3 linked regions of the Alligator mississippiensis genome follow. The protein of the gene in region 2 interacts with the protein of the main gene of each other region in a biochemical or structural test. Links are inferred from orthologs where the notes say so. Each region holds a gene or a part of one and is shown on either strand. Other genes may lie near its edges.

What was found. The genes of interacting proteins can lie anywhere in the genome.
Region 1: the proteins of MMP14 (region 2) and TIMP2 form a complex in vitro, tested with the Homo sapiens proteins (2 studies listed by BioGRID). The link is inferred for Alligator mississippiensis from reciprocal best matches to the Homo sapiens genes MMP14 and TIMP2.
Region 3: the proteins of MMP14 (region 2) and LUM interact in a biophysical measurement, tested with the Homo sapiens proteins (2 studies listed by BioGRID and IntAct, with this or other methods). The link is inferred for Alligator mississippiensis from reciprocal best matches to the Homo sapiens genes MMP14 and LUM.

What each region holds. Positions count from the first base shown.
Region 1 is NC_081831.1:751,459-755,204, forward strand, and holds the start of TIMP2 (metalloproteinase inhibitor 2), read right to left. Parts: upstream 2,417-3,746; 5' UTR 2,402-2,416; coding exon 1,900-2,401; intron 1-1,899. UniProt on the Homo sapiens protein: Complexes with metalloproteinases (such as collagenases) and irreversibly inactivates them by binding to their catalytic zinc cofactor. Known to act on MMP-1, MMP-2, MMP-3, MMP-7, MMP-8, MMP-9, MMP-10, MMP-13, MMP-14, MMP-15, MMP-16 and MMP-19.
Region 2 is NC_081830.1:7,283,188-7,286,933, forward strand, and holds the start of MMP14 (matrix metalloproteinase-14), read right to left. Parts: upstream 2,651-3,746; 5' UTR 2,523-2,650; coding exon 2,439-2,522; intron 1-2,438.
Region 3 is NC_081827.1:86,438,898-86,442,643, forward strand, and holds the start of LUM (lumican), read right to left. Parts: upstream 2,328-3,746; 5' UTR 1,605-2,327; intron 1-1,604.

The sequences.
Region 1 (3,746 bases), on a different chromosome or scaffold from region 2:
ACACAGGTGCCACAGGGCATGCAGGGGCTACAGGAGGCATTGCCAATGCGATGCCCATGTCACTGCTGCTGCTCTGAGCACACAGCCGGTGACACCGGTTCCAGGAACCGGCAGCCCTCGCCTGCCCCGCTAGAAGCACGACACCCAGAGCTCCCGGAGCGGCCCCCTCGGTGCCAGGCTGCAACCGAGTGCCCAGCCCTGGCCTGCATGGCTGCATCCCCAGTGCTTAGTTGGGGTGGGGAGGGCGAGCAGCACAGAAGCAGCAACCCACCTCCAGCCCCCGCTCAGCTACACACAGACCCCTGAAGCCGGACAGACTGGGCCGTTTCCCTGCCCCTCTGCCAGCTCCGGCTCAGACTAAACTACCCTGTCCTCCTCCTCGAGGCCATGTTCGCTAACCTGCTTGTCACCAGGCCCTGGCTTGTCCCCGAGCGGCGGTGGCCCCGGCAGCCAGCTCCCAGCAGGGCAGTGTGCAGGAATGCGTCCGGCCTGCCCCGCCAGTGCCAAGGCAGGGGAGCGCGGCCTGGTACCCAGAGCAGCTTGTGGGCCATGGAGCCCCTTGCCCCGAGCTTCATGTAGGATCTGGGGAGCCCTGTGCTGCCCAAACTGGGGCCCTATATGCCTCAACACTGCTGGCTGCCCCACACGGGCACGTGGGAGCTCACTGCCCTGCTCCCAGCAGCATCCCCTGCTGTCACCACCCGCCCGAGCCCGTGGGGCTGGAACCACGTGCTGGAGCCCGAGGAAGCATCCCCAGAGCAGGGGGCCGAGGTGGAAGGGGCAGGGCGGGGAGGTGTCCTACGTGCCTCTGCCAGCTGACCTGCAGTCCGGCTCCCACTGCCCCAGCCACCGGGCAAACAGCCGGAAGGAGACCTGGGGCTCCGCTACACCGAGAAACCGTTTCTCCCGTCCCTCCAGCGCTCCCTGAACCTCGGCCATAGTGGGCCGAGCCCCCGGCAGCCCCGGCAGAGACTGACGCCAGCTGCTGAGAAGCCGCAGCGGCCGGGGCCGGGGGCCGGAGCAGGGGCGCTGGCCGGGGGCGTGGGAAGCCGGGAGCGCTGGCGGAGCATCCTCGCGGCGGACGGATGGGTGTGGGCCGAGCTCCGGGTGACCGGCCTGCCTACGCGTCTCAGACTGACCGCGCTCCCTTGCCCGCCAGGCCGCGGGGCTGGGAATGGCCGCGCCGGCCCGGCCTGGCCTGTTTGTTTAATATGGTACAATTTAATAAGGGCATTATTCATGGAAGAGGAATCCGGATCCCGGGGCTGCCAAGCCCGGCCTTCCAGCAGCATCCAAGCCGAGAGAGATGGGACGGAAGAAAGGAAATGCCTGGAAAGAAGGAGCAGGCGGAGGTGACCCGGCCCTGGCTCCCAGGCTGGCCACGGCCTGCGCCCTGGCCCCACCGCTGCTAGGCACCGACTGAATCAAGATGGCAACGCGGCGCGCTCCTCCTCGCCGGGCGGGCTCCGCCGCAGCCAGCCGGACCCCGCGGCGGGGACGCAGGGCCAGGCCTCTCCATCCCCGCGCACCCACGTGCGGGGCAGGCGGGGGGAGGCTCCGCCGCCCACGGGCACGCACCCCCCGGGCCCGGGCCCGGGGCCGGCAGACACACCCCCCAGACACACACACTCGCGCCCGGCAGGCAGACCCACCGCGCACACACGTGTGCACGCACTCTCCCGTCAAGGCCCCCGACGTGTCCGGCAGGCAGACGCCCCTTCCCGGAGGCCGGAGTGACCGCTGCGGACACCCTCCCCGCGGCCGCCGCCCCAGCGCGAGGCGAGGGAGGGAGACGGCGAAGGAGGCAGCCGGGCCGCCGCGGCACTGCCCGCTCCGTGTGCGGCGGGCCCGGCCCGGCCCGGCCCGGCCCGGCTCGGCCCGGCGCGGCGCGGGGCTTACCCAGGTCGGCGTTGCAGAACGCCTGCTGCGGGTGCACGGGCGAGCAGCTGCAGGCGCGGGCCAGGCGCCCGGCCCCGGCGAGCAGCAGCAGCAGCAGGGCGAGCCAGGCGCGCGGGCCGGGCGCGGGGGCCCTCATGGTGCGGGCGGCGGGGCTCAGCGCTGCGGCATGCAGGGCTCCGGCTCCGGCTCGGGCTCGGGCGGTGCCTCCTCCGCGGGCTGTTTTCCTCTCCCGGCCGCCGAGCCGGGCTTTAAGGCGCCGCGGCTCCTCCTCCCGGTGGCAGCTGGCCAGTGCCGGCTGCAGCTCGGCCCCGCGCGCCGCCGGGCGGGCATCGCGGCCGTGCCCCGGGGCGGGAGCCCCGGCCCCACCTCCGCCCGACGGCTGGGCCCGGGGCCGCACCGGGCCGGGCAAAGCGCCCTCCGGCCCGGGCCCGCGCCCGCGCCCGCGCCCGCCCCGACCCCAGCGCGGGGCAGAGGGGCAGGGGCGGCGGCGCGCCGCGGCCATGCGAGCGCCGGGCACGGGCGGTGGCAGCCAGGGCGAGGGCAGGCGCCGCAGGAGGAAGGGGCGACCCCGACGCGTGGGCAAGGGCTGGCCCGCAGCCGGCGCCGGCGGTGCTTCGCGGGGGCAGGGAGGGCCGTGGGGGCGCGCGGGAGCCGGGCCGTGCCCCCTGCCCGGACCCGCGGGGACTCAGTGCTGCGGGGAAAGGGGAACCCGCGGGAGACGCTGGCTCTGGAGAGGCCGCAGCCCCCTCCGGGGACTCCCAGAAACTGGCCCCCATCGCAGGGCTCCCCCAGGCACCGCCGGCCACGCAGGGCCTGGGAGCCAGAGCCCAGCAGGGCGCTCGGGTGACGGAGGTGCCTGCTGGGCACAGGTCCGTGGCTCCCAGAGCGAGGCCTGTCCTGAGCCAGCCACTGCCACGCAAGGCCAGTGGCTAGGCCGGGCCCTGACCCTTGCACCCCGACAGCCGCCAGGCTGGACACGCCACGCCTGGGCCCGATCCTCACCCGTCCCCTCTGGGACCTGGGGGAGTGGGGAGGGTTGTCACTGCTGGGCAGGGCATGCCTGGGGCAGCAGGGAGCCAAGGCCACAGGAGCTGGTGGCCCCTGGGCAGGCAGCCCAGCCCCCTCCCTCTGCACCAGCTGTTAGCTATTAGGGGAGGACTCATGTGCAGCATCCCCTGCCAGCCAGGCTCTTAAAAGGGCGCTGCGCACTTTGCTTTGGGAGGTCCCACGCTGCCTGGGTCACCCTGCCAGGGGCTCGGGCTCAAGGCTGCCTGGGAGAGGACCTCACAGGCACATGGGGGGCTCATGCAGCAGCTGCACCCACAGCCCCCAGGCTCAGCAGAGCCAGGACCGAGCTGTGGGGCCCAGCCCCTTCCACCTTTGCAGGACTTGGCCTGGCATCGCACAGCAGCAGTGGCCTGGCACACATGGGCAGCAACTGCTCTACCCCGCCAGCGCCGGGGATCCACCAGCCCCCCTGAGTGGGGGGATACCTGCCCCCCCGCTCCTGCATGGCATGGGGCCACACTGCCCAGCTTGGGGCAGCACTCGCCCAGGGCTCCAGCTGGGACCCAGGGCACGGCGGCTGGGGGGCAGCAGGCATGTGGGCATCCTGTGGGAGCCCCGGGCCAGGAAGGGCCCCCACATGCCACTGAATCACTCCCAGGGGGATGGATCAGGGCCGCTGCAGGGACAACCCATGGCTCTGGACAGGGACAGTGCACGTAGGGGTCAAGCGCTGCCCGGGGCTCATGCACCCCTGGGTCTTGCCCATCTCCTGGGGAACCTCCCGCCATGCTGGCTTTCCCAAGGCCCTTTCTGGCCTGGCCCAACACCAGGATAGGAGG
Region 2 (3,746 bases):
TCTGCCTCTCTCTGCATTCATCTGCTCCAGGCCTGTCCTGTTTCCTCTTTCTAAATTCATTTAGGCCAAGGCTGTCTCACTCTGTCTCTCTCTGCATTGTTCGCTCCAGGCCAGCTTATCCCTCTGCATGAGTTTATCCCGGGCCTGTCTCATTCCGTCTCTCTGCTCATTTGCTTACCCTGGGCCTGTGCCATTCTGTTTCTCTCTGCAAGTTTTGTTCTGTCTGTCTCTGCATTCATTTATCCCAGGCCTGTCCGGTTCCCTCTATCTGTGTACTCATTTATCCTGGGCCTGCCTCCCGCTGTGTCTCTCTGCTCCATTGTTTATCCCTCAGCTGCTTTATTCTGCCTGTCTCTGCATTCGTTCACTCCAGGGCCTGTCTCGCTCTGTCTCTCCGCACATTCCTTCGCTCAGGGGGCCGTCTCGTTCTGTCTGTCTCTGCATTCCTTTATTCCCCATGCTGTCTCATTCATTTTTCCCCACAGGAAACGGGAGGGGAACCTTCCCGTGCCAGCCTGGCCCTGTGCTGCTTGCTTCCTTCTCTCCTCACTCCCTCATTCTTTCCTTCCTGCAAAGTAGGGGGTCAGGTCACACAGGATGAAACCATGCTCCCCCCACCCTTCTCCCTACACTCATCTGTCCCTTCTGCTTTGTTTTTTCTTTCCAAGAGGGGCCTTCCCTGGCCTCGTCCCCCCTGGGGCTGGACCAGTGCCCAGGGAAGAGAGGGAAGGAGAAAGTTTGGTGGGGGGACAAGGGTGTTGGCAAGAGGAAGGAGAAAAACAACCAGGGATTTGTAATTGTCTTTCCAGGAAGGATTGGGAAACCGGAGGGCGGGGGGAGGAGGAACGGATGGACTGAAAGTATATGGATGGAGGGAGAGAGAAGGGGAGGGGTGGTGGGTCTAGCTGAATAGAGGAGCTGTCTGGAAAAGAAAGAAAGAAAGAAAGTTGCAGGAGGGAAGAATAGATAGATAGACAGACTGTGGGTATGGATGAGGAAGGAAAGGAAGAAGGAAGAGACAGGCGGGCGAGATATACAAGGGCAGCCAGCTACCAGGACAGACAAATGGACAGATAGAGAAAGAATCTGGTTGGATGAATATAGAAAGCTGGAAAGGACGAATGAAAGCAAGCAGCCAGCCAGCGCCTTGAGTCCCTGCCAAGTTTCCCCAGTGGCTCCTGCCCAGCTCCAGATGTGGGTCCCGCTCTGGGCCAGGGGTGGCATGGACCCAGCCTGGGGGATGGAGGAAAGGGGAAAATCCAGAGCTAAACGAGTGTCCAGGGGCGGGGGGAACCCTCTGAGAGGACAGGGGGGAGCAGGAAGGAAGGAAGGGAATGAGGGAGGGGTGAAAGTTGGCTGCGGGGTGAGCCAGTCAGGAAGGGAGCCCAAAGAAGGAGGGATAGGGGAAATCTAGGAAATGGAGGAGTGCAGCCCTGAACACCCCCCTCACCCGCCCTCGGAGAGAGGACTAAAGGCGGCTGCAGGGAAGAGATGGAAGTGGGGTGTGAGTGCGAGAACAGAAGAGAAAAGAAAGACTGGTGAGAAGGGAACTGGAAGAGAGCAGAGGAGCAAGGGAAGGTGCCGGGTCTGGCAGAAGGACAAGTGGGGGGAGGGCAGCCAGGCCAGTTCCAAAAGAAAGGAGAGTGGGAAAAACCAGACAGAGGACTGGAAGCCAGGAATGAGGGGAATGGGAAAGGCTGGAGAACAGAGGATGGGGGCTGCTAGAGCAAGAGGACACGTCCCCGGGGGGAAGCAAGAAGCAAGAAAATGGGAGGGGAAGAACTGGAGACAGGACGGGAAGAAACAAAGGAACGTGAAAGTTTGGCAAGCGAATGAGTGTGGGAGGCAGGCTGGCACCGTGACCTGCCCCTGGCCATGAAAGAAAGGATCGTGGAAAATCCCAGATGGAGTGATGAAAGGAAAAACGAGGGATCTGGGCACAGGAGGGCTGGGGGGAGGCAGCGGGGTGGGGGGGGAGTGAGGGAGGGAGCGTGGAAGTTTGCCAACCGGAGGAGTGCCAAGGACAAGGGTTGGGGTTCATCCTGGAAGAAAGGATGGTGGGAGAAAGCACAAGGCAGGGACAGAAGGGGAAGAAAGGGTCGAGTCAGGGCCGGGAGCAAAGGAATGCGAAAGTTTGGCAGGGGGACAAGTGTGGGAGGGAAGTTAGCCACCAGCAAGGCAAGAAAAGATGAGGAAAGAAACCACCGTGAAGGGATAGAAGAGGGGGATGGGAAGGAAGGGGAAAAGTGTGGAGACAGACAAGCGCCGCGGGAGGAGGTAGCAGGGGGGCAGGGGAGGAAGAAGGGATAGCAGCAGAGTGGCCTGCGGAGGTGTGAAGTTGGGCCGACTCTGGCAAACATTGGCCAACAACCCAACCCAAGAGTTGGCCAACAACCCAACCCAACAGTTGGCCAACGGTGAAGGGGCCCAAGACTCACCTCGGGGCTGAAGCCGGGGTCTCCCACTCCCAGTTGGAGCAGGGAGCCCAGCACCAGGCCAGCCGAGAGCAGAGAGGGGCCCATGCCTGCCTCTGTGTGTCCGTTCGTCTGTCCCCAGCGCAAGGGACTCCGAGGCGGCTGGGAGCGAGAGGGGAAAATAACTCTGAGCAGGGCCAGCTGGCGGGGCCTGGAGCCACCTACCAGGGAGGGAGGGAGGGAGGAGAGGGCGGGCAGAGGGGTGGGAGGGAGGAAGGAGCCGTCTGGGAAGTAAGACAGGGAGTGGAGAGAGAGAGGGAGGAAAGACAGGAAGAGGGTTTGCAGAAGGGCAGACAGGGGAGGGGGGAGCGCAGGGAGACAGACAAACCCACAGGCTGGAGGGCTTCACACTTTATTAGCAGCATGTTAAGAGCCAAAGGGGCTCCATGGGTGGGAGGGGAGCGCCAGTCTGGCAGGAGGGGAAAGAGAGAGCCGTGATGGATAGAGAGCTTGTTCATCTTTATTAGAGAAAAGAGTGAAAAAGAGAGGAGATGGGCGGAGAGAGAAAGGAGGATAGTTGAGAGGGTGGATGGAGTCTATGGGGATGGAGGGATGGGTGTGGGGTGGGTGGATGGATAGATGGATGGGTGGGGTTATGGTGATAGATAGATAGATAGATAGATAGATAGATAGATAGATAGATAGATAGATAGATAGATAGATAGATAAACTGTCTTTGGAAGAAGGGAGGGAGAGGCAGATGGCTGGATTGGGGTTATGGCAATGGAAGGCTAGCTTAAGGGCGATATTTGGAGAGGGATGGATGACTGATTTTCATTCTGTCTGTGGGAGAAGGGATGGAGGGTGGATGGATACGAGATTGGTAGGTGGAGACGGGTGGGTGGATAAAGGGGCTGCCGGGAGGTGGGTGGATGCACAGGTAGGCCTGTGCCCAGTCCCGCATCTGTGCCGGCGCGGGCTGTCCGGTGACGGAAGCCGACAGCGCTCCCCGGGCCGCGGGCGGGCAGGCACCGGGCGCGCTGGGCAGGATGTGGCCCGGAGGTGGCTGAGTCAGCGGGCCGGCCGTGCTGAGCCAGGAGCAGGCAGGGAATCCCAGGCAGCCTGGCCCGCGGCCACCCCGACCCCCCGCCCCGCTCTAACCACTACCCCCGCCCCGCTCCCCTCCCCTCTCAGCACTGGGAAAGAGCCCAGGCGTCCCGGCTGCTCTAAGCACTACCCGCCGCCTCCCTCCCACGGCTGAGAAGGAACCCAGGCGGGCAGGCGGCGGCCCCGCAAACCGCACCGGCTCCCCACGTGGGAGGGAGAGGGGGA
Region 3 (3,746 bases), on a different chromosome or scaffold from region 2:
TATTTAATCAAGGATTATCCTGTCAATATTGCCTAATTCTAGAAACTGTTATTTGGCCACGTTTTAGCATAGGTAGTATGAAAGTAATTTCCTTTGTCTGTTAGCAAATTTTGTATGAAAACACATCAGCTGAATCACAACATGGCCCATGTCCTCAGCTACTCTAAGTAGGGATGTCTTTACAAAATCAGGAGATTTGCACTTCTTTACATCAGCTCCAAATACGGTCCAGTGTGTGGTAAAGCAACATTAAGAATGGAATTCTTACTGTTTTCCTGAAAACATGGAAAGTTAGCATTATGGCCAAGAGTTTGGACTGGCACTCTTCAGCCTTATAATCTTTTATGTATTTGCATTGTTTTTGGCATAAGTAAAGGCCTATTAATCGAGGAGAACAGATGGTGTATCTTAACTTCAAATTCCTTTTGTGGTTTTAATTTATACTTTCAAATGGTTCTTTACTTCATTCTGGATTTCATATACAGGCCACTTCTTTTAATGGCATTACATATTTGAAATATTCAGTGAGAGACTGGAATTAATATTACAAATATGGTATTAAAATATGTGGCATATTATTAAGCAGTGAAGCTGTGTGTGATTGTATATGTGTGTTTATGTGTGTAATGCTTACTAAAGCTATCCAAATAAATAGGTAAAACAGTTAATTAGTTTTATTGCTGAATTCTTAATAAGCATATATAAAATGTTTCACTATTAAAATGTAAAACAACCAGAGATCATATGTGCGCTAAAATGTTAACTTGAAAAATGATAATTATAATTATTATGTCAGAGGAAGTTCTTAAATATTTGTCCTACAGCAAAAAAAAACTTTTGAATAAAGTATTTTGATTATTATATTTGTAATTTTAAAATACATGTGAAAACTTCTTTGAGGTTGAATAGAAGACATGGGAAATGCTAAAGTGCATCATTACAAACCTCACAGAATACTTTCTAGACTGGCAAAGACCATAAAAGACACAGTGAAAATATTCTTTAAAATACTGGACTGCACCAATTATATAAGCATTGTAAAAATAATTAATTAATAATCTTCAATATTTAAATGCATATTATGATTCTGCAACATCAGTTCCCTTTCTTCTGGCTGTAATGAAAAAGATGATTTTTTTTAAAGTTATAATTAGATATTTTAAAGTTTTCAAAATGATAAATGAATTAAAATTCCAAATGAGCTAGAATTTCTCTTTTCCCAGCTGCCTAATTCTTAAATGTTCATGTACTTCATTCTTCTGTAAAACAGAACAGTAATGACTTACAACATGAAGAAGATGGATAAGGTATTGTTGCTAACAGAATCCTGAATGAGTGAGTAAAAGTAATACTTTTTAATTTTCCTTGCACTGTATGTTAGATTTCCCTCTTTAAAAAAAAAATACATGTGACAAAAAAGTGCAACACTAACTCACAAATGTGAGGTTACTTTAAGAAAACTGTGAAAGCAAATTGCACTAAACAACTGCTGATTTGTGTTCAATTTACAAATTGGCAAAGTTGTCCTGACATGTTTTCATGTTCTCATTATAGCTACATTCAAATAGCAGAGCAATACGGGTAAAACATGCAACAGTACTTACCTTACAGCCTTGAAGCTGCTTTCTTTAATTCCCAGAGCAGATGCAATAAGAGAATCTGTATCGACCAATATATGCTGTAAATAGTGTCAGGAGGTAACTGGCTGCCAGAACCTCTGTAATACAAAAGCTAAAAAAACCCAAGAAAAAAAAAACCAGAAGAAAACCCCTAGTCACGCTGTTGACTGAAGCTGCTATGTCATCATGGTGATCTTGTGGTGTGGCATGTACAACTGCTGCTCTCTAATGAAGTGCAGGTGGATACTGTATTCTGTAGAAGGACAACCCTTCTGTAATCCCTATGGAATAGGAGAAAGATAAGTATTTCACAGACCTGAGAAGTTCAGACTATTGGCCATAGCCTTATAGGAGGAATGTAATATTGTATAGAAAAAAAATTAAAATAATATACAAATTATAAACAGAACTTTTCTCTTTTTCAACTTCTTTTATACCACTAGACATGATTTAAAAAAATAGCACTCAAACCTCAATGTAGTTATTCTGACTAAGCCAAATGACTCATTCATTTTGTCTTGTTTTTCTTTCTCCAAAACTATTCCCACAATAATTTAATGAATCTTAACTGAGGTTAAGATCCTAAGATAGGAACATTGGACTGGCAAGGACCTTTTGAACAATCAAGTCCAGTCCCTAGAAGAACCAAAATTGCATTAGGACTTTCTTTGTTCTGTAAACCTTTTCTTCAAACCATTATAAAGGACTGTTGACTCCAGTGATTCTTTCTAACTGCTCAGTAAATACCAAGTCTGGAAGCTTGTTCTCTGATCTCATGTATGGATGTTTCTGAATTAAAACAGCCCATGAAAACTTTCCTGCAGTTGGTTATAAATTCACTTGAGTCATTTTTTTCCCCCCTTTTAGTTCTTTAAGCACTTTTCTGCTCTTCAGAATCTGGAACTACTCAGCTGTGAGTTGTCTGTTCCCTATTTCATGGATATAGTTCAAGAATGCATCCTAAGCTTGGATGGAAACGTTGCTTTATCTGGACAATGCCAAAAAATGCAATAAAAACATAAAATTATTAGCAGAATCATAATTGTTTGTTTCCCTAAGTTTCGTCCATACTCATAAATTGTGTCTCTATTGCCTTATGAAATGAAAACTCTCTCTCAGACAGGGTGTGTCTACATGAACTATTTACTGCATAGTAGATGTTGCACATCTATACATGCACCCCTGTGAGGCTGGAGTAAACTAGTTTACTCTGCAGCAGGATAGTATTTCTTATATACAAATATTATCAAGCTGCAGAGTCTTTTACTCTGAAGCAGCACACATGTGGCTGCTGCCTTGGCTAGCTGGGGCATGAGGGTACTTCATTGTGAAGGGCTACCTTCTGGCTAGCACCACATGAAAGCACTCTCTTGCCCCAGCCAGCCCCTCTGCAGTATGCTGAGCCAGGGGGAGCAACTTTGGGCTGGCAGGCTGACCTCCCCGAGACTTTTGGCAGCTGGGGCTCAACATGCTGCGGTCCCAGGTGTGCATGCAGACACAGAACCCAGGAGCAATGAACTCCAGAGCAATAAGCAATAAGTTCTGTAGTTTATTCATGTACATTAATTGCATGTGTAGACACACCCACCGAGATACAAAAGAGAAAGCATATACAAGGTACTTTGACAATATCTGTAACTGCAGGCTGCGTGGTGTCTGGAATGAAGCAGTATATACACTTGAGTTTTAACCCAGATAAGATGACAGGTTTTGTTTGGTTTTATTTATTAGTACTTTTTTCAGAACTTTCATTTCCCATTCACGTGTCAAGCCTAATGTTCAGTTCTGACTTGGCCTGCAGGAGAAGTCACGTGCTACAGGGTGGGGTTAGGCCTAGAGATGCTTAGGACTGTAGCCTCTACTCCCCTCCTCCATAGGAGGAAGAGACTGCAAGTTGGCTACACTTGATAATGCTATCCTGAGCAACTGAGCCTCCATGCCCAGGGAAGTCGCTGGAGACAGGAAAAGGAGTGGCACAGATTATTTCCCTGCATAAAATGATGAGAACGTAGGGAGTGATGGGAAATATTTGAGCCACAGTTCAGTCCTGCTCTGCTGCTGGAGTGACACATTATGTGTTGCCCATCACCCAGGATGGATTGCACAGTGTCTGTCTTCCCATCAATC